Linked DNA regions of Cricetulus griseus. The protein of the gene in region 3 interacts with the protein of the main gene of each other region in a biochemical or structural test. Links are inferred from orthologs where the notes say so. Each region holds a gene or a part of one and is shown on either strand. Other genes may lie near its edges.

What was found. The genes of interacting proteins can lie anywhere in the genome.
Region 1: the proteins of Hspg2 (region 3) and Fbln2 form a complex in vitro, tested with the Homo sapiens proteins (2 studies listed by BioGRID). The link is inferred for Cricetulus griseus from reciprocal best matches to the Homo sapiens genes HSPG2 and FBLN2.
Region 2: the proteins of Hspg2 (region 3) and Kdr form a complex in vitro, tested with the Homo sapiens proteins (2 studies listed by IntAct). The link is inferred for Cricetulus griseus from reciprocal best matches to the Homo sapiens genes HSPG2 and KDR.

The regions. Positions count from the first base shown.
Region 1 is NC_048601.1:52,560,421-52,571,087, forward strand, and holds part of Fbln2 (fibulin-2), read right to left. Parts: intron 6,332-10,667; coding exon 6,220-6,331; intron 4,162-6,219; coding exon 4,032-4,161; intron 2,149-4,031; coding exon 1,968-2,148; intron 265-1,967; coding exon 55-264; intron 1-54. UniProt on the Homo sapiens protein: Its binding to fibronectin and some other ligands is calcium dependent. May act as an adapter that mediates the interaction between FBN1 and ELN.
Region 2 is NW_023276807.1:142,421,901-142,432,567, reverse strand, and holds part of Kdr (vascular endothelial growth factor receptor 2), read left to right. Parts: intron 1-792; coding exon 793-939; intron 940-1,618; coding exon 1,619-1,750; intron 1,751-4,245; coding exon 4,246-4,352; intron 4,353-4,780; coding exon 4,781-4,916; intron 4,917-5,269; coding exon 5,270-5,374; intron 5,375-7,067; coding exon 7,068-7,181; intron 7,182-7,681; coding exon 7,682-7,770; intron 7,771-8,314; coding exon 8,315-8,468; intron 8,469-10,283; coding exon 10,284-10,381; intron 10,382-10,667. UniProt on the Homo sapiens protein: Tyrosine-protein kinase that acts as a cell-surface receptor for VEGFA, VEGFC and VEGFD. Plays an essential role in the regulation of angiogenesis, vascular development, vascular permeability, and embryonic hematopoiesis.
Region 3 is NC_048595.1:15,783,680-15,794,346, forward strand, and holds part of Hspg2 (basement membrane-specific heparan sulfate proteoglycan core protein), read right to left. Parts: intron 10,531-10,667; coding exon 10,395-10,530; intron 10,282-10,394; coding exon 10,130-10,281; intron 9,426-10,129; coding exon 9,287-9,425; intron 8,057-9,286; coding exon 7,905-8,056; intron 7,711-7,904; coding exon 7,566-7,710; intron 6,555-7,565; coding exon 6,409-6,554; intron 6,101-6,408; coding exon 5,959-6,100; intron 5,402-5,958; coding exon 5,250-5,401; intron 4,905-5,249; coding exon 4,763-4,904; intron 4,647-4,762; coding exon 4,506-4,646; intron 3,906-4,505; coding exon 3,771-3,905; intron 3,615-3,770; coding exon 3,433-3,614; intron 2,847-3,432; coding exon 2,651-2,846; intron 2,448-2,650; coding exon 2,268-2,447; intron 2,030-2,267; coding exon 1,769-2,029; intron 656-1,768; coding exon 451-655; intron 1-450. UniProt on the Homo sapiens protein: Integral component of basement membranes. Component of the glomerular basement membrane (GBM), responsible for the fixed negative electrostatic membrane charge, and which provides a barrier which is both size- and charge-selective.

The DNA.
Region 1 (10,667 bases), on a different chromosome or scaffold from region 3:
AAGGCTACCCTCCAACAGCAGGACAAGCCTGTGCCTGGGCTGCCTATAGCTCACCTGGGCGGCAGGTGCGGCCGTCACCCTGCAGCTCAAATCCAGGGAAGCAGGCACAGCGGTAGGAGCCCACAGTGTTGATGCAAAGATGCTGGCAAAGCTCCCCCGGGAGCAGCAGACACTCGTCCTGGTCATCTCCCGGCAGGCTATTGGGCAGTTCAGCCTCTGTGCCCAGTGACAGGGCCTCCCGATTTGCCATCTCTGCCTCTGAAACTGGGGTGGTTGGTCAGCATTTGGAACACAGCCAACTTGGCCAATGGGTGGTTGAGCTCACAGGATCCAGGAAAACAACAGAGGCTCAATGGATGGTAACAATAGAGGAGTGAAGGAGGGAGAGAGGGAGGCATGGATGGAGGGATGGATGGATGGATGGATGGATGGATGGATGGATGGATGGATGGATGGATGGATAGATGATAGTGAATCCATGGTAACAGTCTGAGTCTTTACCACCTGGGTCCCTTCAATAGGACAGGACCATACCTAAAGGGGGCTCTTGCTAAAGTAATGAAGTAGAGTCATAGGAGTGCTGGCCTGGGTTGAGACAGATCAGGATATGACCCCTGATTGCAGCTTTCTTATCTGTGTCAGCACAGGGTCTTTTTGAGGTCCTGGGACCCACTGCCTACTCTGCAGAGGGTAGCAGGTGAGAAGAGAAGGTGGCGGTGGCTGCTGCTGCTGCTAGGCTGCTCTGCACTGGCCTAATACCTCAGCCCTTGCCATCAGCCTCAGGCAACAAGAACAGAATGGTAGCATGAGGCTGCACTCAAGGGCATGTCCTGGGGAGGGTGCCTGCATTGAGCTCCATCCTGAGGAGCCCTGGCCTGGTGCGCACAGCTGTTCTGGGGACCTAGAACGGTGACTGGGCAGAGGCAGACCAAGGCGCTGGGGTCCCTGAGCACATCAGCATGTCCCTCCATGGGCTAGGCCCTGTTCATTGCCATCTGCATGTCCTTCCTGTCATCCTCCCAGCAGAAAAGGAAAGGTCTCAGGCTGTTTCAAACAGGACTTAAAGTAGAACAGTCTGTTCCCACCACCAGTATCTCCCAGACCCAGAAGACTCCAGAAGCTCCTCACAGGAAAAGGTATGACGTTATATGGGTGGTTACATTGGGGGATGGATGGACCCCGCCCAGCTGTGTTGTCCACCCGGTCCCCTGTGTCATGCTCTGACTGCTGATGCTGATTCTGAGTTTCCTCCTGAACTCTACTTTGAGCCACTCTCTGGGTAATAAGTTGTTCTTCAGAAATTACTGTCTTTAACCAGCACCTTGGATGAGCTGGTGGATGGGTGGGTGGGTGAATGGGTAGACAAGCAGATAGAGAGATGAATGGAGAGATGGGTGAAAATGGATGAGCAGGCAGGTGGGTGGGTGGGTGGTGGGTGGTGGGGTGGTGGGGTAGGTGAAAAAAGAGGTGAATGAGTGAGTGGGGGATGTGGATAACGGGTAGATTTGGGGATAACGGGGAAGTATAACAATGAATGGATGGACAGATAGGCAAGTAGGTGGATAAGAAGTGGATGGATGGATAGATGGATGAATGGTGACAGATGACAGACTGATGGACAGATGACTGGATAGGGAAAGAGATAAACAGAACTGAATGGTGGAATGGGGAAACAGTGGAAAAATGTGGATATGGCCAGAGCGGCCAGGGTGGTGAGGGGATGGTTGAAGGTCACTGGTGATTGGTGAGTGGCACTGAGAACTGTGTAGGACTGCCACAACAGCACACAGTTAGAGTCCTGCCAGTAGCCACAGAACCCTATAGAGCAGAGCTCAAACTTCAAACCCCATACAACAATGGACCAGGATCCCTACCGTGGCCTGTGGCCACCCAGCCCAACCATCCTTAGTGCCCTAACCATCTTCCTCCAATTGCCTCCACATGGGAGGCAATTGGCCTGTACCCACCTCTTCGCGGGGTGGCCTCAGGCTCTGGTGGCCGACGGACCTCAGGCACTATGAGGGGCTCTTCGCCTTCACAGCAAGACAGCATGACATGGTTGCACGGATAGCCCAGGTTGGGGTTGGATTCACATGACTGGCCCTCGGCCCGCACTCGGAGTCCCAGGCCACAGCAGTCACAGCATTGCTGAGGAAGACAGAGCGTCAGCACCGGGCCCTCAGAGCCTACTTGACTTCCCACGGTCTGCGTGCCTGTGACTCATTCGGTATCCATGAGCATAGCCTGGAGCAGGCTCTGGGGTGAATTAGCATTGTCTAGTTCCTCTATCTGCCTGTATGCTCTCCCAGGGTGGAGGGTGACCCACCCCTATACCCCAAGTCTGGAGAAGGGTAGGACTAATGTTAATTTTCTTTCATGAATGAATAAATGTCCCTTTGGAAAGAACTACAAATGAAGCCCAGTCCTGCTCACCATGCCCCACCCTTAGAAGCAGACTCTAATCCTGTCAGCTCAGCAAAAAGAGAGCATTTCTCAAGGGACCTTACAGTCCTGGTGGCTTCAGGACAGGGATTACTTGGAAGTGAACCCATCTCACTCTCCCTGTTGCTCCTCAGAGTGTATATGTGATGAGGCTCCTGGTGTCATGTCATGCCATGAAGGGACCTGAAGCTAACACTCAACAATGACAATTCAACAACAACAAAAAAAGAGGTTGTATCCCTAAGACTATGTAGACTCACCTGGCCAACAGCCACAGGGAGATCTGATTTACATTATCAAACTGTGGCAGTAGGTTGGGTGCAGCAACAACTCCAGCTTCCCAGCCTCCCCGGCACTTAGTTTGTGGCTGGACAGCTCAGCAACTCAGAGAGTAAGTATGTGGCTCCAGCTTGGGGTAACCAATCACTTGCTTTGGTCACTAGGGTAAGATAAAAGTGACCATATGCCCATTTTAAACCTAGACTTCTAAAGAGCTTGCATGCCACTAAAATGTGGGTTTGGCATATGCCTACTCCAGGGCCCAGGGCAGGTCTAAGGCCACTGAGGCCCTTGAAGGGGACTTTGGAACACTAATTTCTTATGTGAGCAACTGGCTCTACCACGCATATCATGCCATGCCATTTCACCATGGGCCAAAGGCAGCATGGCCAACCTGAAACGTTTCACTCTCATAATGGAGTTATCTCAGGCATGTCACAGTGAGGAAAGCTGAGCAATACATGCTTTCAATCTCTTTCTCAGAGTTCTATCTGAACCAGGCCCAGCCAGCCCATTGTGGGAGAGAATGGTCCATTCAGGGAACAGAGAGAGTTTAGCTGTAGGCCACCTACATTGCCTGGCTCCAGAGAAGCCACCAGCCAGTGACAATCACACAGGCCCAGCTAAACATTTTTTTTTTCTGATGCCAAGCCAGCCACAAGCAGATACGATGAGTGATACTCCAGTCCTTCATCTGATGCTACACTACCCACTGCTGAAGGCCACATGGCCACAAGTTCCAGGTGCTGGCACTGGGCCTTGCCTGCCCCAGGATGGGCAATTCCTTGCTCCTGTTTTATTCAATGGGGAAACTGAGGCTGAGAGAAGGGAACTGGGCTTAGGGTAAAGGTAACCACAGAAGGACTCTGCGCCTGCCTGCAGCAAGATCCTCTTCTAATACCAGGTCATCTCCCTTCCTCCTGGTTTATCCCTGTCCCTGAGGCAGCTTGGGCCTGCCTGCCTCCAGCCTCCAGCAGACACATGCAAGGGAAACCAGCTTCTAGAACTCCCAATGCTTGCAGCCACACTGATCCTTGGACCACCGTGCACTGCCACACAACCTCCACCCGAAGACCTCTTCAGGCACTCCCTTCAGGCACACCACACCCTGCTACACTCAACCAGACCTGCCTCAGAGAAAGCAAGATGTCACTTGGGTTATTACTGGAGTTCAAAGCATACTTTGTGGATTTGTTGACCAATGCCATGACTGTTAACATTTCCTGGGAAGGTAGTGAGTCTGTCCCCCACCCTGCCCCCAAGATGTGGTGTCACCCATCTCAGCCACAATTGCAGAAGGGGGGACTTGCCTTGTACAGGGAGATGCCACAGGTATCATTGTCCTCAGCTCCACAGGCCTCACCCTCCTTGGCCCCCATGACGCCAGCCATGCAGCTCTTCTCCTTCAAGTAGGAGACACAGCAGTGCCTCTGGGCTATCCTGAAACAGGCGGCTGCCTCAGTACCTGTCTTCTTGGGACCCTCCCCTGGAGGGTGACAGTCCCCACCTCACAGAAGGGAGATGGAGTGGAGTCCTGAGAAGGGAAGCCCCCGCCCGAGGTCTACAGCAAGTGCGGCCAGGACTGGCAGCAAGGCAGGCACAACCCCCACCAAGTCTGAGGCCTGGGACCCACTGGCCTCAAGAGTTGTGTCCTTGACTCTGAAGAAAGGTGTTGGCATTCAGAGTTCCACTACCAATCCTGAGAAAGAGAGACCCAAACTCAGAAAGGACAGGGTAAATCTGGTGAAGAGAGTGGTCACTACCTGGCCCTCTCTGTTGTTGGTTGTTTTTTAACTCTTTACTCTTTAGGGGGCCTGCCACCCAGCTCCCAAATAAATCACATGGAGGCTTATTTTTTCTTATTAAAAGCCTGGCCTTAGCTTGACTTGTTTCTAGCCAGCTTTTTTTTTTTTAACTTAATTTATCTCATCTACCTTTTGCCTTTGGGCTTTTACCTTTCTCTATTTCTGTATATCTTTTCTTTCCTTCTTATTCCATGTTTGGCCATGTGGCTGGGAAGCCAGCCCTTCTTTTCTCTCTCCTTGACCTCTCTCTCTCTCTCTTTTTTTTTTTCGAGACAGGGTTTCTCTGTGTAGCTTTGGAGCTTATCCTAGCACTCACTCTGGAGACCAGGCTGGCCTGAACTCACAGAGATCCGCCTGCCTCTGCCTCCCAAGTGCTGGGATTAAAGGCGTGTGCCACCAACGCCCGGCTTCTCCTTGACCTCTCTTGCTTCTTGAGCCCTCTTTTTCTCCTTCTATTTATTTTCTCTGCCCTGACAGCCCACCTGTCCTTTCTCTAGCTATTGGCCATTCAGCTTTTTCGTAGACCAATCAGGTGTTTTAGGCAGGCAAAATAACACAGCTTCACAGAGTTAAACAGATGCAATATAAAATAAAGCAACACATCTTTGCTTCATTAGGCAAATGTTCCACAGCATAAATGAATGTAACACATCTTAAACTAATATTCTACAACATCTCTCCACGTCGCCAATCTGTGGAAGAGGAAGCTGAGAGCCAGCAAAGCTTAGATCAGGGGAGGCAAGGACTCCACACTACTTGGGAGGGACACATAAAGGGATCAACTGTCCAATGGTGGAGCCGTGGTCCATGTTGTGGGGGAGCTCAAGAGGATGTCAGTATTCATTATGGCTGCAAAGCTCAAAATGCCTGGGGTCTGAATAGTGTGCACGTTCTAACTATTCAGTAACCCAAATGGGAGTGGCAAAAAGGAAAAGGGAGGGACAGAGTTAGAATTTAAATTTCTCTAAAGAAGGCAGACTGGGGTCAGGCACGGTGGGTGGTGCATGCCTTTAATCCCAGCACTTGGGAGGCAAAGGCAGGCAGATTTCTGTGAATTTGAAGTCAGCCTGGTCTACATAGAGAGTTTCAGGTCAGTAGGTCTACACAGTGAGACTCTGTCTAAGAATTATGGAGGAAGCAGAGGCAGAATGAGCAGGACATTAGAAAATATGGGTTCTAATCCTGGCCATACTACTGGTGGGCTGTGCAGCTCTAGGAGAATCGCACTGCCTCTCTGAACTTCATTCTCCTTTCTGAAAAAATGAGTAGGTTGTGAAAGATGAGCAAGGGAGATAATAGCTGCCCAATCCTGGCAGGGCAAGCAGAGCACACACATTTGAGCCACAGCACAGGTGGCAGAGGAGAACAGAGGGCAGCCAGGCTGTGGAGAATGTAGGGTGGCTGAGCTGGGGGAGCGATAGCTGCAGTAAGTGGGGAGCCCAGCAACCCCAAGGTGGTGATGTCCCTTTGAACTTGTTCTAAATTACATACCATTGCATTTGCCCACCAAGACAGCCACAGATCCACATGGCCAACTGACTCTCAGGACCAGTCATGTGATCACCTGACACTCAGGACCTCTCTGTCTCTCCATCAGCCTGGCCAGATGGCTCACTGCATTCACTCTGGGTCACCTTCACACACCTGGGGCCCAGAGAAAGCAACAGCAGTTCTGTCCACCCCAGCCACTCACCTGCAGACGTCACTCTCAGCACCGTTCTGGGGGATTTCCTGGCACTCATCATTGTCGATGGCCCACTGCTGGCCAGCTGCACAGCATGTCTCAATCAGGTCTTTGGTGGAGACTGTGGGTTGCAATGAGGAGGTGTAGCTGGGTTTCGGGTCCACCAAGTGCAGTATGTACTGCAGACACTGGGCAAGGGAACCTCTTACCCCCAACCCCCATCCACCCCCTACCCTGCACATCCAGCTCTCCCCTTCTAAGGAAGCACTGGAGAGACTTGGTCCTCCTGCAGCCAATGGGTAGCCAATGGCTGGCTCCAAGAGCATGCAAACATACTTGTGTGTGTGTGTGTGTGTGTGTGTGTGTGTGTGTGTGTGTGTGTGTGTGTGTATTTGGGGGGGTGTTCACTCCAGAGCCCACAGGATCAGACTGTGTAGGCAGCAGCTGACCTGTAACTTGTCTAGTCCCTTCCCTAACCCTTATACTGTTTTGCCTAGACATGTCCCTAAATGAACCATTACGGACATAAGAAACCCTGACTTTGGTTCTGCTTCTGAGGAGCCTGACCTGAGTAGCCCAGATGGTGCAGGAGACAAGAAAAGAGCTTCAGCGGGCTTGTGGGATTCCACTAAGAGCTATCTTAAGTTTCTTTTCTCAGGGATGTAATGGTGAAATCTAACTAATAAAAATTAACACAATGATTAAAACTAAAATTAAAATTAAAACTAAAATTAAAACTAAAATTGATGTATTCAAATAGTGGCTCTTTTTAATACAGTAATAGGAAATTTAGCAGGAAAAATGTCATTTAAAAGAGAACTCCAGATTTCAGCATTAAGCATGTTGTCCAACAAGAAGGGAATATCTGTCTCTGTCTCTCTCCTTCTTCAATTTATTTTATGTATTATTATTTTTTTGCCTGCATGTATGTAAATGTACCACATGAATGCAGAGCCCACAAGGGTCTCAAGAGGACATCAGATCCCCTGGAACTGGAGTTACATGTGTTTTTGGGCTGCTGTGTGGGTGCTGGGAACTGAACCTGTGTTCTCTGCTAGATCAGCAAGTGCTTTTAACCACTTTATTTGAAGCACATACCATGTATGCATACTTGAGTAAAGGGTCTATGTACTCAAGACATGAACTCTCCTGTATGTGAGCTACAACTTTAATACAATTATAATCAAAGACCCAATCTGTTTATGGGGTTTGTCAAGGTGATTCTCAGATTCAGATAAATAGCCAGGCCTGGTGTAACCAGCCGGTAATCCACTACTCAGAAGGTCTTGCGGCCAGACTGTAGTTCAAAATCAACTTTGTGAGACTCTGTCTCAAATTGAAACCCTAAAAACAAAGAGGGGCAGGGTTATGGCTCTCAACCAGGCTGACTGCTTCCTTTTCCCTTTTCAGGGATCAAATCTCATCAGAAAATGTCTTCCTGACCTCTGTGTACCCCAACCCCATCACATCACCCCACTCAGCCTCTGTTTACAAAAGTGACTATAAAAAAGTATACAAGCCAGACAGGGAGATACATGCCTGTAAACTAAGCATTCTGCAAGCTGAGGAGGGAGGATTACAAATTTGAGCCTGGGCTTCATAAAGACACACACACACACACACACAGAGAGAGAGAGAGAGAGAGAGAGAGAGAGAGAGAGAGAGAGAGAGAGAGAGAGAGTGAGAGACAGAGAGAGAGACAGAGAGAGAGAGACAGAGAGAGAGAGACAGAGAGAGAGATCCTGGGGTCCTGGCCAGGCAACATATGATGGATGTCTTAAGAGATAACAATGACAGCCCCAATGTGCTGAGTGCCAGCAGCAAGCCAGGCGAGAGGCCAAACACTCCAGCTGTTGTTACTCCCTCTGCCCAGAGGAAGTGGAAGACTAGAGAGTCCAACATCACTTCCTCTCTTCCCTTTCTCTTCCAGGCAACATGGCAACAGCCAGCCTTGAATGACGTGAACCCAGCCTCCAGCAGGCCAAGGGGTTGCCACCACATGGACTTGGTGGTCTTCTCTTCTAGTTTCTTGGTCTCAGACCAGATTTTAGCCTGCACTTGGTAGACTTCCACTATTCCCCTGGCTTTTCCCATCCCAGGTTTTCTTACTTCAAAGGCATCTAGAGCTATGACCTCATGCTGGAAGGTCAACCTATTTGGAGCATAAGGGGGACTGGGTCTAATGTGGATGGTCCTGAGGCAACTCCCACAGGCTTGGCTCCTTCCCTGACTCCAGACATCCCAGCCTCTCTGGGGATTTCTTGACCTCTCTGGCTTCTGGCCTGTGGGGTATACACCAAGGATCCTCCTCTTCATCACACTCTGACTCTTAGTGACATCCTCTGGTCTATGGGCCTCCTATGTCACCTTCCCTTGGCTCCTCCTACACTTCTATACCTAGCTTGGCCATAGGAATTTGTGCCCCATCAGCACAAATTGACTTGCTTCAGGCTGACCTGGCTTCCCAAGGCTGGGATGTTTGCCTCCTCCTGAAGCCTAAATTGCTGCCTCACAGGACTTTCTTGTGTCAGTGAAGTCCCTGAGTGTCCTAAGGACCCTCCAGGACAAATCTATACCACAAGGGTCACCTCCAAAGCACACACAGTCCACCCACCTATCTCATCGCTCTACCTCACCTAGTGTCCCTCTGCTTTCATCTGTCCTCCAGTCACTTCCAGGATGGTACCCAGGTGACTGTCCACTCACAGGAATCAGATGAGGACTCCTCTGTGACTGAAGTCCCATGGATGGCCCTGCCTCCTTCTCCACTTTTTCCCTTCTCTGCTCACTCATTCCTTGGTGTCTCTGCCTCATTTCTTCCCAGGGTCTGAGCACTTGCTATACTGTCTGCCTAGACTCTTCTACCCCTCTTCCTGCCTTGCTTCACCTCTACTCTCAACCAGAGGTTGCTCTTTTCCCCTTTTCAGAGATCACTTTTCCTCAGAGAGGATCACCCTGGCTTCCGTGTACCCCAACTCTACCACATTATCTCACTTACCCTTTCTCACACTGCGCTGGCCTTGGGTAACTCTGAGCCATCTTAGGGAGCTTGGAACTGCATGGAAAGCCATTATATGATAAAGTGTCTCACACACACACACACACACACACACACACACACACACACACACACACACCCCGGTGTGACAATCAGGCCTTCAAAGCAGTTCTCACCCTTCTGCCTGGTCACTTGGGCCTCTGCTTGTTGTCCTCATTGGTGATGATCTATGCATCTATGCTAGGAGCACCCTCCTCCTTCCTGGCTACCTGGGGAATGTCCATCCATCAGGCCTTAGGAAGCCCATCTGATATGACTTCTCTGCCCCTCCATCTGGCCAGCACCCACCTGCCTCTGGGAAGGTGGATTAGCACCCACTTCTGGTCACACACACACACACACACACACACACACAATACCAAGATAACCCTCACAAGTGACACACTTATCCCAATATAACCTTGGAGGGTCCTGTGTCCAAGAATAGGTCTGAGTCACCTCAGGTCTCCAGTGGGCAACACAGGGCCCAGCACTGACCCAGAACACCACACATTCTGCTTCTTAGGTGGGACATTCAGGCTTTCAGTGTCCATCATTGTTTAAAGTTCACCAGCCCATGATGCCTGTATGTGTAGTAAAGGGGCCTCTCAGAGAATGCCCTTTCCTTCTGCATACATGGTTTGGTGTGTTGCACCCTTCTGAATGAACTAAGCTATCACAACACAGCAACAGAACCAATGTCTAGGTGGAAGACTGGACCACTGCCCATTCCGTGATGCTGCCTTTTGCCTTCTGCCTCCTCTGGATTGGTTGGGCCTTCCTATTCCTCCCAAGGATGACTGGGAGAACAGTGACTTGGCCTGACACTGGCCTGGCTCTCAATGACTCTGCTTCAGGGTCCTGCCTGCCGGATAGTACAGTTGCTCCCTGATCCACCCACTCAGCCAAAACCCACCTCTCACACCTCTGGGTGGCAGAGACAGATGTGGAAAACTGCCCTGCCACCTGCTGAAAGAGAAGATGTGCAAACTCATTTTGCAGATTTTATTATTAGGAAAATAAGAAATAGATGCCCCGGGTCCCACGCCACTGAACAGCCCAAGCTAGAAATGTCTCCAGAGGGTTGGTTCCTATGATGCAACAAGTTGCCAGTGATGGCCAAAACCATCATGTGACACATTCATATCCCACAAGTGTGACAATGGGGAAAGACACTGGCCACACACAGTAAGAGACAAAAACAGCAATGGATAAGGTAACAGGACTAGAAAATCCCATAGTGAAGACTGAGCGCTAAGACTTAGAAATGATATAGCAGCAATCCAGACACAAAGACTATAGACAACACGTGTTTCCACTCAGATTCAAGGACAGGAGGTAGTGTGGAGGGCACCAGGGGCTGGTTTGACAGGGACAGAGTTTCAGAAGATGGGAGATCTCAATCCAGAAGACGTCATTT
Region 2 (10,667 bases), on a different chromosome or scaffold from region 3:
ATTCTTTCAATGTAACTCTTTTTGATGCTCGTTTGGTTTGGATAAGATCTTTCCACAACAGTTGGATGACTTACAGGAGGAGAGCAAAGCTTGTGTCTTGCTGTGCATGTAAACAAATGCCCATGGGCCCATGACTTTTCATATGGCATTACTGTTTGGTTTGTTTGGATTTTAGTGAAACTACACTGCACTTTCAGCCTCACAACATTCTATTATTAACTCAACCATTTACTTAGTTATAGGGGCTTGGGTGAGATACCTAAACCCCCAAACTGCAATCTCTTCACCAAAAAATAGGGTTAATGGCCTGGGCCTTCATAATATATGACTGATAGTAAATATTAGAAATGATATAAAGTCATCCAATAAATATAAGTCACTCCCTATGTACTTATGCTGAAGTTTTGCCTTTCCCAAGTGAAAACATGCACTCTTAGTGGTTACAACCTTGCTGAGAAGGAGTTGCCCTTGGGGGAAATCCTTACGTGATTGTAGGGGGGGAAAACCTATAATGTGAAAATAATCCCCAAAGATTCCTGAACTGTGGTTTGCATGTAGGGAGATTATTTTGAACATTTAAAGGCTGTCATGGTCAGTCAGAACTGCCCTTCTTTATTAGATTTCACTCCACTCATCCACCAGCAGTGCTCTTGTCACTATCTGGGAAGTTTCAGCTCACTTCATCAATGGGCCACTGCTTCTTAAGTGTAGACTGTCCAATAGTCACAGGACACTAAAGCTGTTCTCATAGTCAGAAGCATGGACTCTATGGTTTCCTTTTTATGTTCATAGAGCGCATGGCACCCATGATCATTGGAAATCTAGAGAATCAGACGACAATGATTGGCGAAACCATCGAAGTTTCTTGCCCAGCATCGGGAAACCCTACCCCACACATTACATGGTTCAAAGACAATGAGACACTCGTGGAAGATTCAGGTGAGTGAGCTTGTCTATTTTTCTAGTGGTCGATTTTTTCTCAAGGATGCTGTGTAAAACTGCTCTCATTTCTTGGTTTATTACAAAGTTGACAGAAAGCAGTATTTATGGGGTTGGAGAGACAGTTAGTCAGTGAGATGCTTGCCACACAAGCATGAGGGCCTGCATCCACATCCCTAGAACCCTCATAGAAAACTAGACTTAGCATCTATCTGTAATACCAGTCTAAGGGGCAGGGTGTATGTGTGGAGGACGGGGTGGAAGACAAGTGCATCCTTGGAGCCCATTTGACAGCCTGTCTAGCTAATCATTGAGTTCCAAATTCAGGGAGAGACTCTGTCTCAAAAGAATAAGGTAGAAAATAATAAAGAAGATACCCAACATTGACCTCTGGCCTCTATGCACACATCTCCCCCAACACTCACACATGCTCGCATGAACACTCAAAAATGTATTTGGGTAAAGGGTCTATCTGGCTCATTTCAGAGCCAGAAGCAGCGTATTTGGAGTCCTATTGATTTCACATGGAGATCCCATGGGAGATAGGAGTCAATCCCATGTGCCTCTTTAGAGTTGGATAATAGCCAGAGCTGAAGGGCAGCAGCAACTATTCTAAGAATTTTCTCAATGCACAGATTGCATCATCAGAAACAAAGCAAGCAATTCCTTCCTCTTTTAGGAATTGTACTGAAAGATGGGAACCGGAACCTAACTATCCGAAGGGTGAGGAAGGAGGATGAAGGCCTCTACACCTGTCAGGCCTGCAATGTCCTTGGATGTGCAAGAGCGGAGACACTTTTTATAATAGAAGGTCAGTGTGATGCCATAGACCCAACAGATTTTTTTTTTTTGGATTAGTCTGTGTTCATAGCCTCAAATACTTTGAGTGGGATGGAATGTAGGTGACTATGCTCTTCATGGTGGTTAAGTGTTTCATATCTAAAATATTTAGGAAGAGATATAGTCCAGCTTTTAGAATTTTTCATATGTTTAATAGATATTTTGTGGAGGGGACCTACATCCAAGCATAAAACTTGTTCAGGTGTCATGTAAACTTTACACACATAGCCAGAAGGCACTTTTACATAACATTTTCAGGGCATCTGCCTGTTGGTTGTGTCTTGTCACTTGAGGTAAGGGACTAGCACTCAAAAAGTTTCTGATCTTGGTCCTCTGGGAGTTCTGAGTTGGAGATTCTCCCCCTGTTCTTCATACTCTGTCTTCAATGGGTTTCTGTTCTTTTAATCAGAAAACAAAATTATGGGTATGCTTCAGCCTGTACCATATTTCCTATTCACGCGGCTCTCACTGTGAGAAAACTTTTAGCCAGGAGTGATGAATAGCCTCCTGTCCCTCGTTCTCACTTTGTTTGAATGGCCAAGTTAACTTAAAGAATTGATGCTTGGAAAATAATTAGATTTGGTGTTGACATTGCTATTCAATTAGTGACATAGGTTCAGAATTTTCACTAGAGCTGAGGCAAGATTCACTCATAAACGATAGATGATTGCTTTTGTGACATGGAAAATTGAGGGTTATTATTGAAAACTGAAAGGAAACCTCTTTCCTTCTACCCTGTGTGTGTGTGTGGTGTATGCCTTTTTTTCAGTCAGCAATCTATGACAGAATATTTCAACTTATGAAGAGCATGCTGAGTCCTTTTTTTCTTTTATAACCTACTAAGAGAACAATGCAACTATATTGTGTGACTGAAGGAGTGGTGTGCAAGGGGATGATTGAGGGAGGTTAGAGAGGCAGGGTTGGCGGATTTCTAAAGTCTAGATGTTGGTCCCTTTAATCTGTCAAACTCACGCTGTTGAATATTGCATCTAGAGTGACTATCATGTTCTCAAATCTGTAAGAATGTTAGGATTCCATGAACTGCAGCTGCAAGTGAAGATGCCAATTGCATGGTAGTTCTATCATCTTCAAAGACATCCATGTCTTAGTGCTGATCTCAGGGAGGATGTGCCCATCAGTTCTCTCTGGTACTCTACTTCCCTCCATTAGCCTTCTGCATTAGGTTACCCTGCCTGAGTGGGCACAGTGGCATGGGTATTGTGGAGACTCACCTGGGGACAATAGCAAGATGTTTAGCTCTCAGATGTTAATATGAGAATATTCATACAAAAACTGGTAGAGACAGTTCAACCTTTGACCTTTCTTCTGTGCCACATGAATAGACTTCTAAATCTTTACACACAGATAGAGAATTATTTCCCTGGGAACCGCAGAGAAACCAAATCCACTTACTGATGCATTCAGAGCTTGTCTCCCAACTGGTAACTCTTATTTTGCCAACTAATTAATTGCTTGTCTTCTGGCTTCTGGCTCCCCACTCCCTCCCCCCAGCTAGCTCAGGGCTCATTTCAACTCATACTGCACACTGGGAGTTGAGAGACAGAGATCCCAAGTGATAATTGTGTCCTAATCACCTCCCTCCTAATCATTTGGTGCTAAGAGCCTTCTGCTGGTAATTCTCCTCTTGGAACACACTCTGGAGAGGAGTCTACAACTTTCTATGCCTTGCTTAGCTTTGCCTTTCTCCTTTCCTTTCACACATCAGTGCCCTTATGTCAGTGGCTTATGCCAGTTTCCCTTCCTTCTCTCTCTCTCTCTCTCTCTCTCTCTCTCTCTCTCTCTCTCTCTCTCTCCTCTCCTCTCCTCCCCCTCTTTATCTTCCTTTCTCCCTTTCTCCTCTCTTCTGCTTTTCACACTTCTGCTATGCAGGGACAGGGTGAAATATTGGTGAGCCCAATTTGGATGGACCTGGTATAACCCTTGAACAACCCACCAACTTCCTGTGTCTCTCAAACAAGTAGCTTAATCCTTCAAATCTTATTCCTTCAATCTGAATACTGAAAAAGTGAAGCAGGTTGTAGGTGTGTGGTCACAGGCAGCTGTCGGGGCAAAGGGCTTCCCTTATTTCCTTGTAGAGTTTTCTAAACAATCACTTTTCCCATGCCACACAAGTGAAAACATTGACTGTCAGCACAAAACCAGACTGTATTACCCACAAATGGAAGTACCTTTTCTTTTTCCCTCAAAAGAAGTCTCTCACCAGACACATCCTATACGCATCTATTAAGATACTTGTGCACCTATGGTTCATTGAGAATCCTATTACTGGATGTTTTCTTGTTCTTTAAGAATGCTGGAAACTCTATCCAACTTAAGGAGCCTGTGGCTGTTGGTCTGTGGAGGTCTTGAAAGTGGATGAGCCTGAGGTCCTGCCTTCATGTCATAGCTTTATCACCTTCTGTCAAAGGCTTTCAGTTGCTGATCACTCAAATGTGTGTCTTCCAGGTGCTCAGGAAAAGACCAACTTGGAAGTCATTATTCTTGTGGGCACTGCTGTGATTGCTATGTTCTTCTGGCTACTTCTTGTCATCGTTCTACGGACCGTTAAGCGGGTAACAACATAATGTCCATCCTGTCCCTTGCATGTTGGTTTTTGTGATTAATGGAACCTGACTGGGCTTCTTTCAGCTGCTTCTTCCCATTGTTATTGATTCAATGGGCACATTTTTACTTCAATACAATAACATTCTTGTCCATTTTCTTTGGCTGAACTATGGACGTTAATTGATGGAAGCCAGTGGAGGGGTAAAGGGTTTGGACTGTCCACTGTAATTAAGATTTAGAAACTCTATTCTGAACTCATTTTGGAAACTAAAGAGGCACTAAAAGCAGGGTTATAATAGGACTTCTCTCAAACTTCATGAGTTTTATTGGAAAATGAGATACCATGAATGGGTTCCCTATTAAACAGCAACAAGTATACAAAACAACAACCAAACAACAGGATCTGTGTGTGAGTGGAAGGGTTTATACTTTCTAGGCCAATGAAGGGGAACTGAAGACAGGCTACTTGTCCATTGTCATGGATCCAGATGAACTGCCCTTGAATGAGCGCTGTGAACGCTTGCCTTATGATGCTAGCAAATGGGAATTCCCCAGGGACCGACTGAAACTAGGTGAGTTGTCAACTGGAATTAACTTGATTTTGATTTTAGCAGTCCACCTAACTCTCCTTAAGACAATGACATGTCTAGTCTATTCATAGGATGCATTCTGATTCATAAATGTTAATTCTATCTCTTGACTTTGGGTATTCATCCATATAGCCTTCTATAAGTAAGGAACCCATACAATCATTCAAAGCAGGGCATTTTAGAGGGTGAAGGGAAAAGCCAGGAGGAGGAAGTAAACCAGGCTGTGGATCTAAATGGAATACAACGTCACCTTAACCAATTAGAATCTTCACAGAGTCCTCTGATAGTGTGACATGACAATCAAATTTTGTAATTATCATTATCATTGGTTCTAGGGAAGCCTCTTGGCCGTGGTGCCTTTGGCCAAGTGATTGAGGCAGATGCCTTTGGAATTGACAAGACAGCAACTTGCAAAACAGTGGCCGTCAAAATGTTGAAAGGTAAAAAGCAAAATGACATTGTGATGTGGCTCCCTCTATCTTGACCATCATTAAGAATGGTATAAGGCTTGCATTGGTGGCTCTGTGCATAGGTTGGCCAGAAGGCCCCTGGCTTCTGGTAGTTTTGCACAAACTGGAAACAGTTCCCTCCTTAAAAAGTGTCATGTAAGGGCACATGACCAGGGAGCAAGGATCAACTAGTACAATTGGGGGAAAACTATCTGGGTCTATTAAAAGTTTTCCTCAATGTATTATGGTGTAAGCTGATATAAACCCTTTGGAAATGAGGAAAGAAGTTTGTTATCAGTAAAAATATGAGAATGCGAAACCATCATGTTCTTTAGAATTAGAACATGCCAAAGAACTTCATTTGCAAAGGTATTTTACGAAGTAAGAGTAGCTATGCAAACAGAAGAGGATGTGGGTGTTCTTTTAGACATCAGCATCTTTTCATAGTAACGGAGCTACAGCCTGGACATTCTGATGAGGGAAAGTGATGTAGGTAAAGCTTCTGCTCCATTTGTGACTGCTTCCATGGAGGGAGATGCTGCTGCTTGTCCTTTGCCAGTAGGTCTTGTGCCTTTCTCCCTTTGCGTTTTCTATCTCCAGGCTTAAGGTAGGTGTGTGCGTGTGTGCGTGCCTGCGTGTGTGCGTGCCTGCGTGTGTGCGTGCCTGCGTGTGTGCGTGCCTGCGTGTGTGCGTGCCTGCGTGTGTGTGTGTGTGTGTGTGTGTGTGTGTGTGTGTGTGTGTGTGTGTGCGTGTGTGTGTAGAGATGGGTCATCAGGCCCTGAGGTGAAACCCATAGTTGTGAGTAAGAAGTGTAGCTGTCCATATAGCTTCAAATGCAGCCTTAGCCCCAGTACGCTCATGTGCAAGCAGCTTTGCTTGTGTGCTAGTCCTGTTAACTTATTTATTTGGTGCAGATCAATTGGAAAATTAGTATAGACTTGAGCAAATTTACCACATTGTGTGTGTGTGTGTGTGTGTGTGTGTGTGTGTGTGTGTGTGTGTGTGTGTGAAGAGGGGGAAGTGATGGAGGACAGAGAGAGAAGAAGAGGAAGAAGAAGGAGGAGGAGAAGGAGAAGGAGGAGAGAGAGACAGAGAGAGACAGAGACACACACACACACACACACAGAGAGAGAGAGAGAGAGAGAGAGAGAGAGAGAGAGAGAGAGAGAGAGAGAGAGAGAATATATGCATTGTTAGAAGACAACTTGCAAGAGTCAGTTCTCTCTTTCCACCATGTAGGTCCCAGGGGCCCAGGGTTTGAACTCAGGAGTTGTTAGGCTCAGTGGGCAAGTGCCTTTATTCACCCAACTCATGGTCCCTAGATCTGAGAATACTTAATGTATGGGACCCTTCCCTATGAGGAATCATTGAAGTGATTATGACCTAAGTAGCCTATTATACCTGAAAATTCCAGTTTTGTATAGAAAGAGAATCTGGCTTTGATTCCACTGCAAATATGTTCCCAACTTTACAAGAAACTCACCTTAGATTCAGGGTTTGCTTAAAATAAAGCCTTGCTTTCTAGTTAGAAAACCGAGTTTGCATTTGACATTTCAGAACACACCATTGCTCTGTCAGCTATAGCTGCCCTCTTCTGGGAGAGCAAGTTGTGTGGTTAAGTGCACCCATCATCCTGCAGCAATGGCGACAGTTAACAGTTATTGTCTTTATTCTGAATTTGTAGAAGGAGCAACACACAGTGAGCACCGAGCCCTCATGTCTGAACTCAAGATCCTCATCCACATTGGCCACCATCTCAATGTGGTCAACCTTCTAGGTGCCTGCACCAAGCCGGGAGGTAAGTAACTGCTGTGACTGCTCTCGGGAGTTTGACTCATAGCTCTCCCTCTGTTGGCGTTTGAAGGAAGCAATACTTTGAAGAATCCTAAATGTACTATGCTGCATAGAAATTTAGTGGACACCATAATCAAATGATTCTGTAGCATCCTTTGAATTAAAGAATAGTCTCATCATGGGGAGATGTTTTGTTAGATGGGAAAAAGGAACATTCCCCAGACCTTGGCAGGAAAGAAACTCTCATCATCTCCTTTGCCTCCCATCCCGTAGTCACCTCAGCTGATTGCTGATGTTTGGATTACTCATGTAGAATCATCTTTTTGAAAAAGAAAAATTGTAATAGGAAGGATTGGTGTCAGCCGATGTCGCCCACCCTGTTCCTGTGAAAGGTTAAATGTAGCCTTCTTCTAGGGCAGTTTTGGGCTTATCAATATGCTGAGCACATAGTGAGAAGTGTTGGTGAAGTGCATTTTCTTTCTTAACTCACTGTGTTATTTGCAGGGCCTCTCATGGTGATTGTGGAATTCTGCAAGTTTGGAAACCTATCAACTTACTTACGGGGCAAGAGAAATGAATTTGTTCCCTATAAGGTATGTCGTTGTCGTCTGCCTGAGCATGGTCATACAGAAAGCAGAGCAAAACTCAAAGTGGCTCACATATGTCTTTTAGTTGGAATTCTTTGCACATTTCCCTGGTTGTCTTAACGTCCACTTTTGTCTTCTGGGGGTTGTAGGCTTCTCATATTTTATTTTTAGGACTTTAATCTCCTGACCCATTACAACGGTGCTAGATTTGATTAAGGAAAGTGTAGGGCCGAGAGAGCATTGGTTCTAGATTATAGTCTGTCACCTCAGTCATATGTGGCTCCATGAGGGTTCATCTCTCTGTAAAGAGGACACTAATGGAAGTTTGTCCAAGTATTCCTGGAGACACTTGGCACTTGACACTAAAGAGAAGGAGCTTGGTGTTATAGAAGGAACGCTGGTAAAACTCATTCCACATTTCAACTCAGAGACTGTAATCCCAGAGTTGTCTTTTTTGTTTGCTTTTAATAATTTCAACTGTTTGTGACCTTGCAATGCATTAGAGACCCATTCTGTATTTGAGGAATTCACACAGTCCCTTCTTTTCCAGAGTAAAGGGGCACGGTTCCGCCAGGGGAAAGACTACGTTGGGGAGCTCTCTGTGGATCTGAAACGCCGCTTGGATAGCATCACCAGCAGCCAGAGCTCTGCCAGCTCTGGATTTGTTGAGGAGAAATCCCTCAGTGATGTAGAGGAAGAAGAAGGTACCTGCCCTTGCTGCCCATGCCTAATGCACATCCTCTTGTAGAAAGAGACGATGACAAGTTACTCAGCCATGGGGGAAAGCTTCATGGATGAAAGAAATCCAAATTCCTAGGTAGCATCCAGTCAAACTTATCTAAACTATGAAATCCCTAAATAGACAGTGAACTCCCTTGGGAGGCAAAGCATGGTTATCCTGAGAAGTCCAGGCAACTCCGTGTGCTAAGCTGTCACTAGCAATCAAATCAATACTCTGGTCCAGTACTGGATCAGAATTTATTGTCAGTCGAGGTTGAATGCTATGTTCGTAAAGAGGATGGGAGCTCTTTGGCACTTGACTAGCCTTCATTGCCATAAGTGGTTCAGACCCAATAGTGTGCATCACTAGCACACAGAGGGCCCTTCAGTTATCTCTACCTGGCCTTCTCCAAGATGGGTTAGCACATATCTGCCGTTTTCACTCCACTCCAACTGGCTTCTCACACCCCCCTTCTAGCCATGCTTTATGGTCCTGATGGTATTTTAGTGGTATGTATGGGTGGAGCTGGACCTCAGCCTCACCTCCAATGCTTCAATCAGCTCCAGGACACACTGTACATCTGCTTCAATCAGAACGATCAGGCACAGCTGCGTGGTCAAAGTAATGGGGATGCCTAAGGCCTGGTTCTCTTGGGAGTGTGAGTTTAGACAAACACAACCCCACTTCTGTTTCCCCTGCCATAAGCCAACTGACAGATCTTAATCTAACTTCTTTGTCTTGGAAGCTATATAGTTGGCTGGTGGCTAGGGCTTGGGCTAGAGGGGCATAGGGAAGTTGTCTAGACCTGCCGTCAAAAGGTCTGCAGTTAAGTGGGTCGTGTACCCTCTTGCTCACAAATGGTAGCCAGTGAACTAGAAATGCAAGGAGTTAGGAGTAGGGATTGAGGTGTAAATGGCTTGGAATTTCAGGCTTGAACTTTGCCTCTATGTATTTATCTGGAAAATGAAGAGGGCTTCACTGTTCCTAGCCATGTTGCATCACAAGTCATTGAGGAAGAAGTCTCAGCCTTCTTAGTAGTAACAAGGCTATTATGGCAACTGAGTTTGTGTTTACTCTGGTCTTGTGTCCAGGAAAGAGACAGTAGCCATATCTTACCTGATCTAAGTTAGGAGAACATTTCAAAATACCCATGGGTGGCTCAGTGTTTATATGTATCAGTTGTGCTGTAATAAATACTATCAACTTACGTAAATTAATCTTTCTTTCATGTTGTTGTCACTCACTCCTAGTCTTAGAGGAAAGTCTCCTCTACAGGCCAGACTTAATGTGCTTACTGCGTGTCTTAAGTTTGAAAGTGAGAGAAATAAATCTCTTTCTGGTATTTTTAGTTATCTGTTATAGTCTGTAGTTTGAACTTTGGTCTTTGTCCCAGGAGACAAAAGCCCAGAGAGAAAAGATTTGATGACCCTCAATATTGTTGTTTTATTTTTAGAGTTCTTAATATGAGCTATTGTTTTCCCCTCTGAGTTCATGGGAAAAAAACAACTTGAGATAGCAGACTTTAAAAGATCCTTTTTCTCTCCTTTCTGATCTATTCTGATCTCATCTCTATTCTCCTTTCTGGGTTTAGTGGCTCAATTTGACTAAAATGGAGAAAACATTTTTTCCCCAAGGAGTAAGATGAAGGCTAATAACTTGGGGTTTAGCAAATGGGCAGGCGCTCTCCTTCTGTCTCCTGAAATTGGCTCTCAAGTATTGAAGATACCACTCGGGCTGACTTAGAGCAGAGCTACTGACTGGTGAGAATACTCAACTGTGTCCTCTTGCCTCTTCATAGCTGCTGAGGACTTGTACAAGGACTTTCTGACCTTGGAGCATCTCATCTGCTACAGCTTCCAAGTGGCTAAGGGCATGGAGTTCTTGGCATCAAGGAAGGTATGACAGGTCAAGGGGGAGGAAGCTTTCTCTTCAGATCACAGGCCTAGAAATGAGACATCTGCTTGTGCTATTTGGAAATTCATGCATCACTTTTAGGATTCTTAAATGTGTTCCCCTGGGGAGGCTCTGATTCTGCTAATAAAAGGTGGCTAGAGGTTTCATGAAATTAATTCATATAACTAATACTCATTGACCAACTACTAAGTGCTAGGTTTTGTTTTTGTTTTTAATTCTTTTCTTTTCTTTTTCTTCAAGACAGGGTTTCTCTAAATAGCCCTGGCTG
Region 3 (10,667 bases):
AACCAGTATAGAAGGAACACAGGCCACTGTTAGCAGATGGCCTTCCAGGCTCCAAGAAAGCACTAAGCATTTTAGAGAGAACAGCCTTCAATTTCCTAACTTATTGACCACTGTAAGAACTAAGGTTCAGCCATGTGTTGGTGGTGCACACCTTTAATCCCAGCACTCAGAAGGCAGAGGCAGGCGGATCTCTGTGAGTTCGAGGCCAGCCTGATCTATAGAGCAAGTGCCAGGACAACCTCCAAAGCAACACAGAGAAACCTTGTCTCAAAAAAACAAAAACAAAAACAAAACAAAACAAAACAAAAAAGAACTAAGGCTCAGAGAGCACTAGCAGCTCACTCAAGGACATTGCTCTGTCGTGGCCCCATAGGCAGGTAAAGTAAGTCAGTTCCACTGAGCCTTAGGCTGGGGGGAACCTGAGTCCAGTCCACACCCACCACCGCTCACCGGAGGACTCCGTCCTGTACACTGTGTCCAGGAGGCAGCTGACCTCCCTCCTTGAGCCATCGAAGGTGGGTGCCCCGTTCGTTGGGCACAGCACAGTGGAACTCAACGCTGGCCCCCACATTCTTGGTCTCTAGCTGAGGAGTGACTTGCACAGTGGGTGTGGATCCTACTGGGATGGAGGTTTCAGGGAGATCGCCAGAAGGGCCTGTGGAGACACGTGAGATTTAGTTAGTTAGGATCGCCAGAAGGGCCTGTGGAGACACGAGAGATTTAGTTAGTTAGTTAGGATCGCCAGAAGGGCCTGTGGAGACACGTGAGATTTAGTTAGTTAGTTAGGATCGCCAGAAGGGCCTGTGGAGACACGTGAGATTTAGTTAGTTAGTTAGCTAGTTTACTATAACAGGGGCTCATGTAGCACAGGCTATCTTCAAATTCATTAAGTAGCTAAGGATGACCTTGAACTTTGTAATTTCCTGCCTAAATGCTGGGATTACAGTCATATGTCACCACATCTAATTTATATGGTGCTGGGCATTGAAGCCAGGACTCAGTGTAAGTTAAACAAGCACAAGTCATACCCTCTGCCCCCCGCCCCCAGGCTAAGGGCATGAGGTTGTTTGTATAGGGTTTTGAGATGAGGTTTCTCCTCTGTTGTCCTGAGTAGTACTGAACTCCTAGGATCAAGTGCTACCTCAGCTTAGTTATCTTGATGAGCTGGGACAAAGGTCCACAGCATCACACAGGACACCCAAGGCTCTTCTGTACACATGTATGCGTCATATCCCTGAAATACCCGGGTACCAGGATACCCTCATCTCAACATTCAAGGGATGTTCTTCAGATAGTCCTTTCAATACAGATCCACTCATCTGTTCTCATAGTCAATCATTTTCAATCATTTGATGCACCAAGGGCCAGTGTGGGACTGGGCTTTGCCTCTCAGAGTTTGGGCCCTTGGATAGGGAAGGTGGCCCAAGACATGAATAGCCGGGAGGGAGACACTTTCCCCCCCTTCTCTTTACATAAGAAAAACAAAGCTGGGCATTGGTGGCACACACCTTTAATCCCAGCACTTGGGAAGCAGAGACAGGCGGATCTCTGTGAGTTGGAGACCAGCCTGGTCTACAAGAGCTAGTTCCAGGTCAGCCTCCAAAGCCACAGAGAAACCCTGTCTTGAAAAACCAAAAAAAAAATAAAAAGAAGAAAAGAAAAGAAAGAAAAAGAAAGGAAGGAAGGAAGAAAGGAAAAAAAAAAAAGAAAAGAAAGGGCCCACAAGGAAGCTGACTCCTGGTTTCCCAGTTAGACTCTAGCTGCTTACCTTGGACCAGCACTTGGGCAAAGGCCTCAGCTGAGCCCACCTTGTTGGAGACCTGGCAGCGGTAGCGGCCAGAGTCTGCAGGACCTGTGAGCTCCAAGTGCAGCAGCTCGTTCCTAGCAACAGCCCTTTCAGGGAGGATGCCAGCCACACGGCTCCACTGGAAGGTGAGTGGTGGCGTGCCGTGAGCCAGGCATTGCAGCTGAACTGGCTTCCCTGGCTGCACTGAGGTATGCTCTGGAATGATGGTGGCATAAGGAGGACCTGAAGAACACACATACAGAGATCAGGTGGGAAAGAACCACAGTAGGTAGCTGCATCCAGATAATGCAATCAAGCTCCTAGGGCCCAAGAGGAGACATGGGTGACAGTCAGGGCAGGCTCTGGAGTCATCTAGATGGAAGGGGATGCTGGGGTTCTGCCCAAAGAGGAGCTTGGCAGGGGAACATAGACCTCCATGCAACACTAACGTAAGTCCACGAAGAGGGTATAGGAGACTTACTCTCCACATGCAGGACAACAGTGGCTTCAGTATGCCCAGCAGAGTTGGTGGCATTACAGATGTACTGGCCTGAGTCCTGCTGGGCCACCCGGGGAATGACCAGTGTGTTGCCTTCTACCCGGTGCTGCCAAGGCAGGGGGGCACGCAGCTTGGACCAGTGGATGGTGGGCGGGGGATTGCCTATAGGGTTGAAGATGGCTTGGTCACTAGGCTGTTCCAGGGATCAATCAAGTGTGTGTGGTGATAGGAAAAGGTTGTAAGTGACCTATTCCTCCATGGGACTGGCTAAGTGGATGCTTCTGGGGCGTGGCATCATTTTCAGACGAATCCAAGCCCCAGAGCAGCACTGCTCTGCCTTTCTGTGGGGCTCCACCACACCACACCTGTGGCCGAGCAGTGAAGAGTGGCCGTGTGTCCAGCCTCCAAGGTCAGCTCAGCTTCTTCAACTTGGACCCGAGGGGCGCCTGGGGCCACAGTGCCGGTGTCCACGATCACCTCCACCTGCTTCTGTGCCTTGCCGAGGGCATTCTGGGCCAGGCACACATAGGTGCCTGCATCTGATGGTTTAGCTGATGAGATCTAGAAGAAAACAGTCTGGTTTTGAAGGTGCCTGGCAGAGGACACTGATACTGAACCCTTCCTTTGTATTTTGATTATTGTGTTTGTTTTCTGAGCTAGGGTCTCATGTAGCCCGGGCTGGCCTGGAATTCTGTTTGGTGACAATCTTCATCTCCTGCCTCCACACCCTGAATGATGCTTCAAGTACAGGCCTATGCTACCATGATTTGTTCATGTGGTTCTGGGAATGGAAACCAGGATTTGGTACACAATAGACAAACACTTTCCCAACTGAGCAGTATCCCTAGATGCCTTCCTTTGCTTTTAGCTCTTCTCTGTGCTGCTGGAAGGTTCACTTTCACAACTGCCCATGGGTCCATCTATCTGCTAAGCAACCAATCTACCCATCACTCAGCTACCCGTCCACCCAGGCTTCTGAGTCATTAATTAGTTCTTCCTTTCATCCTCTCTTCTCCCACCTTCCAATCCCCACTAACCTCCTCTTATCTGTCCATCTACTTATGTCCCCTCTAGGCCTCTAGGCACCTGCTTCAGTCAGCTCCTAGGAAGGACCTCAGACCCAGACATGGCGCAGCCCCAACCTCACCTTCAGCATTGCATGGCTATTCATGAGTCCATATATCCGCGGCTCCAACTTGACAGGGGTGCCGAGTCGGGTCCAACGGGGGGAAGAGCGGGGTTCCCCAGCACTGACGCACTCCAAGGTGATGTCCTTACCCATTTTCACATGCACAGGGCCCTCAGGGAGCACAGACACTGTAGGAGACCCTGAGGGAGGAATGACACGCAGAGCTTTGGGTTACAGACGAGCCACAGTCCACAGCTGAATACCATTCTTAGAGGGCTGGCAGTGGTGGGACTGATTTTAAACCTGGAAAAGCTGGGCTGGCAAGAGGGCCAGAACCATGGGTTGGTGTTTCTCACCGTGCACACTGAGATTGACGACACTCTGGGCCACACCATAGGCATTGGAAGCCACGCAGCGATAGGCTCCATGGTTGCTGGGCCGGGTGCCCACGATGGTAATGATGGAGCCATTGGGGCTGATGTGGACATTGTCTGTGGGGTTGCATTGGTAAAGTGTGATGGTTAGTGTTAGCTGTTCCTTGACGGGATCTAGAACTGCCTCAGAGATAGGCCTGTGAGGGATTACCTAGATTAGGTTAACTGGTGTGGGAAGATACATGTTAACTGTGGAGAAAGCTATCACCTGGGCAGGAGATTCTGGACTGTATGAAAAGAGACAGTGAGCTGAACAGAGGTATTCCCTCATCCCTCCCTACTTCCTGGCTGTGGATGTCACATGACCAGCTGCTTTGAGCTCTTGCTGCCTTGACGGAGCATAATCCCCAAGCTGTGGCCTGAAATAAGTCCTATTTCCCCCCACAGTTGCTTTCATCAGGGTATTTTATCACATCAACACCAAGGGAGGGAAGGCTAGTTCACTGTTGATCCTTTGGGTCTGGACACAGGGCTCGAAGTCATAGATGGTAAGTGGGAGCCCTGGCAGTCTTCTGGGTCCTGCTCCGTCACTACATGGATGGGTTCAAGCCTCACTCAGAGCCACTGGGGAACATGGCATGGACCCAGCTTTCCACCCTGTGTCTCACAGCAAATGGCCCTCCCTCCTGCCTCCAGCCCAGGCAGCCAGCCACTCACCCTCCAGCTCTTGGTTTCGGGTCTTCCACTCAAGGTTGATGGGTGTTGCTCCCTCGTGGATAAGGCACTTGAAACTGGCATCTTGGCCCTGTTGCACTGTGAGGCTGGGTGGCTCGATGGAGATGACGGGGCTCCTGAGACCTGGATGGAGCCCGAGGGTCAGATTCTAGGCTCATTTGGGTGGGCTGGCTCCACTCAGGTAGGTCCTGTCTAGGCTCTAGGCCTCCCTCCCCACTCCGGACATTCCCTATACTCACGGTAGGAAGACCCTGCGCTGGGCGGGACTGTGACTGTGAAGGAAGCTTCATGCTCAGGGCGGGAGCTACCAGCCACTTGGCACACATACTCGCCAGAGTCAGCAGGGGAGATATGGTGGAGCCTCAGCAGGGAGCCATGAGTCTGTCAGAAGAGTAAGGGAAGGAATCCATCAAGGGTTCTGGAGATGAGGGAAGTGAGGCCTAGAGCTAGGCCTGCAGCTGTGGGCTGAAGGAGCTTCCCGCACAGAATCTCTCGAGTTTGACACATTCTCTTTACTGAGTGGGACATGGGTTTAAATGCTAGTTGTAAAGCAATGCCAGGAGGAACGTCTTTCAGCAACTGTTCTCTTGGTCTGGGGCACTCTTCCCTGATGGATACCTGTTTCCCACGATCCCATGAATGCTGGGGTCTGTGTGGGGCTTAGGTGCAGAGGAAACTACAGGAGACCTCGCCTACTCCAGGCTTCTCCCCACCCTGACCAAGTACCTGGTGTCGTGCAGGCAGGCTGCCCCCTCGTTTGTGCCATGTGACCTGGGCATGGGCTTGCCCAGGAACCACACAGTTCAGATCCAAAGTCTGTCCCTCAGCCACGTGGGAGGAGGAGGACTCTATATAGATAGGCTGGGCCAGTCCTGGAGCTGCAGGCACAGAGGTGGGGAACAGTCAAGGCTCCTGGGGTGAGGGTAAGGACCTAACTGTGGTGATACTCTTAGAGGGGACACAGCTGAGCCATATCAGCCAAGGCAGTGTCCCTTCCCTGGTTTTGAGGTGTCTTGCTGAGAACCAGGACTGATTGAGGGTGATTGAAGGACTTAGTAACCCAGACACAGATTATGGAAGCTTTGACCTGGGTGGGCTTGATCCTCAGCCATATGAAAGCCAATGACCCAAGAACAATGCCATGCCTAGACAGGTATGCTGACAACTGTCTGTAATTCCAGAACTTGAGGCAGAGAGAGAGGAGTAGCATGAGTTAGAGGCCAGTAAGGGCTACAAAGTGAGACCTTGTCTCAAAAAAAAAAACAAAAACAAAAAAAAAACAAAAAAAAAACAACCCTCAAAACAAAAAACAAGCAAAACGAAACAAAACACAGCAGCAACCACAAAATCTACCAAAATAAAGGCCCTATGTGAAGAAAAAGCAAGGCCAGGAAAGCACCATCCCCAACATCACCCACTGCTCCATGTCACTCACCAGGGATGGGCCTGGGGTTAGTGGACTCAATGTTGACCAGGACAGAAGCCTCCAGGGTACCTGAGCTGCCAGTCACTTGGCATGAGTACTCGCCAGAGTCCGCTGGGGACACATGGTTCAGCCTCAGTATGTGACCGTGGACCTGCATAGAGGGGAGAGGGTGGGGAGCACTGCTTTGCCTCTAGGTGCCCCGCCCTGGCCTACACAAAACTCTGCCTCCTATGTAACAGACAGTAGAGTTTAGGAAGTAGGGTCTTGAGGAAGTGCTGGGTACTGGGGGTAATCCTGTTGTGCCTGGTCTGTTTGCAAACACTTGTCTCTAGGTGGCTGTACAATGTTTCTCAAACTGTCACGGGCTGCTAGGGCCACCCTCCCTTCAGGGATGGGCTCAGGAAATGATCACTGGGGTTGAGGAAGAGGGGCACATGCTGCTCTTTCCAGGCTCTGTACCTGGTGCCCGGCGGGCAGACTGCCTCCACGTTTGTGCCATGTGACCTGGGCATGGGCCTGCCCAGGAACCACACAGCTTAGATCCAGGGTCTGCCCCTCAGCCACTCGGGAGGAAGAGGTCTCGATGCGGATGGGCGGGACTCCACCTGGGGCCAGGGCACAGCTAGTGGTCAGTGGCTAAGGCTGCTCAGTCTCTCCCGGGTGCTCTACTGTGCACACTGGTTTCAAGGGGCAGGTGGCTTCTTTTCCTTTTCAGGCCACTCAGATTGGAGGGAAGGACTCGCTGAGGATGGGGACCCCTCTTTTTTCCTAGCCCCACCCCCAGGCAACCATATACTCCCAGAACCACTGGGCTAGGCCCCTCCACAGAGCCATTGACACTTCCCAATCTGCAGTAGGTGGTAGCTAGGAATGCAGACCTTGGGGCCAGACTGCAAGAGCTCAGCTGCTAGCATGGCCACTTATTGTGTGATCTTTGGGAAGCTACCTCTGTGTCTCTATTTCCCCAACTGTAAAATGGAGAACTGTCATCCAGCCTCAGGGCTAACAGGATGAAATGCAGTTAATATGAACAGCAGGAGGATTGGATCTGAGCAACTGACATCACATCATGCCTGGGTCCCCTGTTTTCCTTTAATTGAACCATTTTAAAACCTAGTCCTTAGCTCCACTCTAGTAATAACTACCTCAAACCACAACAGGTCTGAGGTGCCGCAGTTGTTAATATACCACAACTAGTAGATACACTCATCAAGACCATCCCAAATGACCTCTAACAACCCACAGGGCAAGGCCAGGCTCTCGGGACCTCAGTAGATTGCCTATACATCGAGATAGTAGAGGGTAAAAACCCCACTAGCAAGAGCCCCACTGTCCTTTGTCCATGGAGGACAGCAATGTGGAGAGTTCTTTGTGTGACGTCTCCAGGTGGGGACACTGATACCACACTTGAAAGCTGTGTTCTCAAGCCCATGAGAGAGAGAGAAACTCATACCGTCTGGCCTGGCCCTGTGTTCTGGAACAGCGAGGGAGGGCAAGAGACAGGAGGCAGAAGTCTGGAATCAGACACCTGCTGTCTCCAGGCCTCAAAGATACCCAGCTCAGCTGATATTCTCCCTCCCTTGTCTCTCTTTCCAGACCCATGCAGGGATCCTCACCAGGGACGTGGGCATTAGTGGTAGGTGCTGTAATGGAGACCAGGACTGAAGCTTCCAGAGGGCCAGAGCTGCTCAGAACTCTGCACACATACTCGCCCGAGTCAGCAGGGGACACCTGGTGCAGCCGCAGCCTTGAGCCGTAGGCCTGGTCAGGGGTGGGCCAAAGACAGAGGATGAGGGATAAGATATCAACCGAGAGGCCTGGAAGGTTGGGAGCCAAGGTCCAGCCTCCACTCCAGGTGTGTGAGGTATCCCCACAGGGGTCTCATGCCTACTTCCTGGGCAGAGCAAACCAGCACTCCCGGCCAGCATTTCTCTCATTTCTTTTCCATTTTATACCTGATGTCGAGCAGGGAGGCTGCCCCCTCGCTTGTGCCATGTGACCTGGGCATGGGCATGTCCAGGGACCACACAGTTCAGATCCACAGTCTGTCCTTCGGCCACATTTGAAGAAGAGGATTCGATTCTGATGGGTGTGGCACCGGCTGGGGCTGAGGACAGAGGAGAGCAGATTAGCCTGGGCTGGATTCTCAAGTGGGGTATAGGATCCACAGAACAGAAAACCCATAGCCCAGGGTAGTCTCAACTACCCCCTGGTAAGCACCATCAGGGTGCCAGGCACTGCTCTAAGTACCCACATCCTTGACCAACACACTTAACCCTCACACTTCCGTACCCTGGGGTGATGGAAACATCCTTTTATATTGACTTTATTTTTTATTTACAGATGTGAGCCACTGTGCTCGGCATAAAACGAAATTGTGTGTGTGTGTGTGTGTGTGTGTGTGTGTGTGTACGTGTGTGTGTGTGTGTGTGTAGCAGTCAACCTTAGGTGCTATTTTTCAGAGACATCAATCTTGTTTTTATTCATTTATTTATTTGTTTTGGAGGCAGGGTTTTACTCTGTAGCCCAGGCTGGCCTCCAACTCATAGAGATTGGCTTGCTTCTTACCCCCTGAGTGCAGAATGTTGTCCTTTTAATTTTTGGTTTCCCAAGACAAAGTTTCTCTATATAACAGTCCTGGCTCTCCTGGAACTTGCTCTGTAGACCAGGCTGACCTCAAACTCACAGAGATCCTCCTGCCTCTGCCTCCTGAGTGCTGGGATTAAAGGTGTGCACCACTACTGCCAGGCTGCATCCAGTTTTTCTATGTGGGCTCTAACTCAGGTCTTCATGTGAGTATGGCAAGCACTTTACTGATGGCGCTATCTCCCCAGCCTACAAACCAAATTTCTTTCTGTTTTTTCTTCTGTAGTACTTGGGTTGAACCCAGGGTCTTTGCATGCTAGACAAGAACCCTAGCACTGAGCCACACCCCCAGCCCTCTTTTTACTTTGGTTTTGAGATAGGGTGTCACTAAATTGCATAGGCTGGACTTGAACTTTTGATTCTCTTGTCCTAGCTTCCCAAAGAGCTAAGATTATAGGCCTTTGTCATTGGGCCTGGCTTGTTAACGATTTTTGCCTACAAGGCTAGTGTGACAGTTTAGCTTTATGAGGCAGCAGTGATCTGTGTCCCCATTTCACTGTCAAGGAGACCGAGGCTACGAACAAAGTGTAACTTATTCACTGCTGGAGTGACACAGCAGGATTTGAACACAGACACTCTTTGTAAACCCTTGCCTTCACCTACACCCAGGTCTGTGGGCTTCAACTCAAGGTTTCTCTTCCGAGGGAATTGTGTTTCCCTGTCCCTTTCCTGGATCAGGAGTCAGACCTACCAGAGGGGCTGCTGTTGCTGGGGGAGACTGAGATCATGATGGAGGTCTCCTGAGCATCAATGTTGTTGTTGGCTCGGCACACATACTCGCCGGAGTCAGCCACTGACACCTGGTGTAGCCGCAGACGAGAGCCGTGGGCCTGGGACAGATGGGGATAAGACAGACAGGGCTGAGATCAGCAGCCACGGCCCCACTGACTCCAACCTCCCTTGCCAGGCCTGCTGAGGCTGTCTTACTTATTTTTGTGTATATGTGTTTTTGTGAGTGTGTATGTATGTGCATGGGTGTGGATGTACTGATGCACACGGTTGTGCCCCCATGTGGAGGTCAGAGGAGGCCGTCAGGTGTCTCCACTATTACTGTCCCCTTTGTTCCTTTGAGGCAAGGTCTCTCTGTGAACTTGGGAGTGTTTTACCAACTAGGCTGGTAGCCAGCAAGCCCCAGAAGCACCCTGTCTCTGCCAACTTCAATGTTGGGATTACAGGCAGGTGCAGGACCATACCTGACTTATTACATGAATGCTGGAATTTGAACTCAGGTCCTCACACAGACCAGAATGGCCTGGGAACTTACTAAACAGCTGAGGATAACTTTGAACTTCTAATCCTTCTGCCCTCACCTCCTGAGAATACAACACAGCACAACTTCCGGTTTTCTGTGGCGCTAGGGAGGGAGTCCTCATGCCAGGCAAGCACACGACCAACTGAGCTACATCGCTGGCCCTGCTGAGGCTGCCTTTTGTCTACCCAAAGTCCAGATGGCTGGAGTACACTAGGTGTGAGAAGGAGCCCTCCATCCTGAGAGATCGAAGGGCCACCCCACTGCCTCAGTTCCTCTTAGTACCTGGTGTTTGGAAGGCAGGCTGCCTCCACGCTTGTACCATGTGATAGTGGCCTGGGGCTGCCCAACCACCACACAGTTCAGATCCAAGGTCTGTCCTTCCACCACTATGGGAGATGAGGTCTCAATCCTCATTGGTGGGGAGACACTGGGCACTGGGGACAGAGGAGGGTAGGGGAGAGAATGCAATTAGACAATAGTGACAATACTGGGGACCTCTGTCTCCCCAACACTCACTTGCCCAGCCCCTTGTCCACCACATTCTCACCATGGGATGGACCTCTGCTCTCGATGTTGACAATGAGCGAAGTCTCCTGGGAGCCAACGCCATTACTGACATGACACACGTACTCTCCGGAGTCCGCTGGGGTCACTTGAGGGATCCGGAGGCGGGAACCCACGATCTGGAGGAACAGATGACAGTGGGTGGAGGTGGAACCTACATGTCATAGGCCCTACAGACATCAGATCCTGGAAGTCCTCTCCCCAACCTTGCCTCAGTGCCTTCCTGAGGCTCCCGGTGTGACACCCTCTGGGTCCT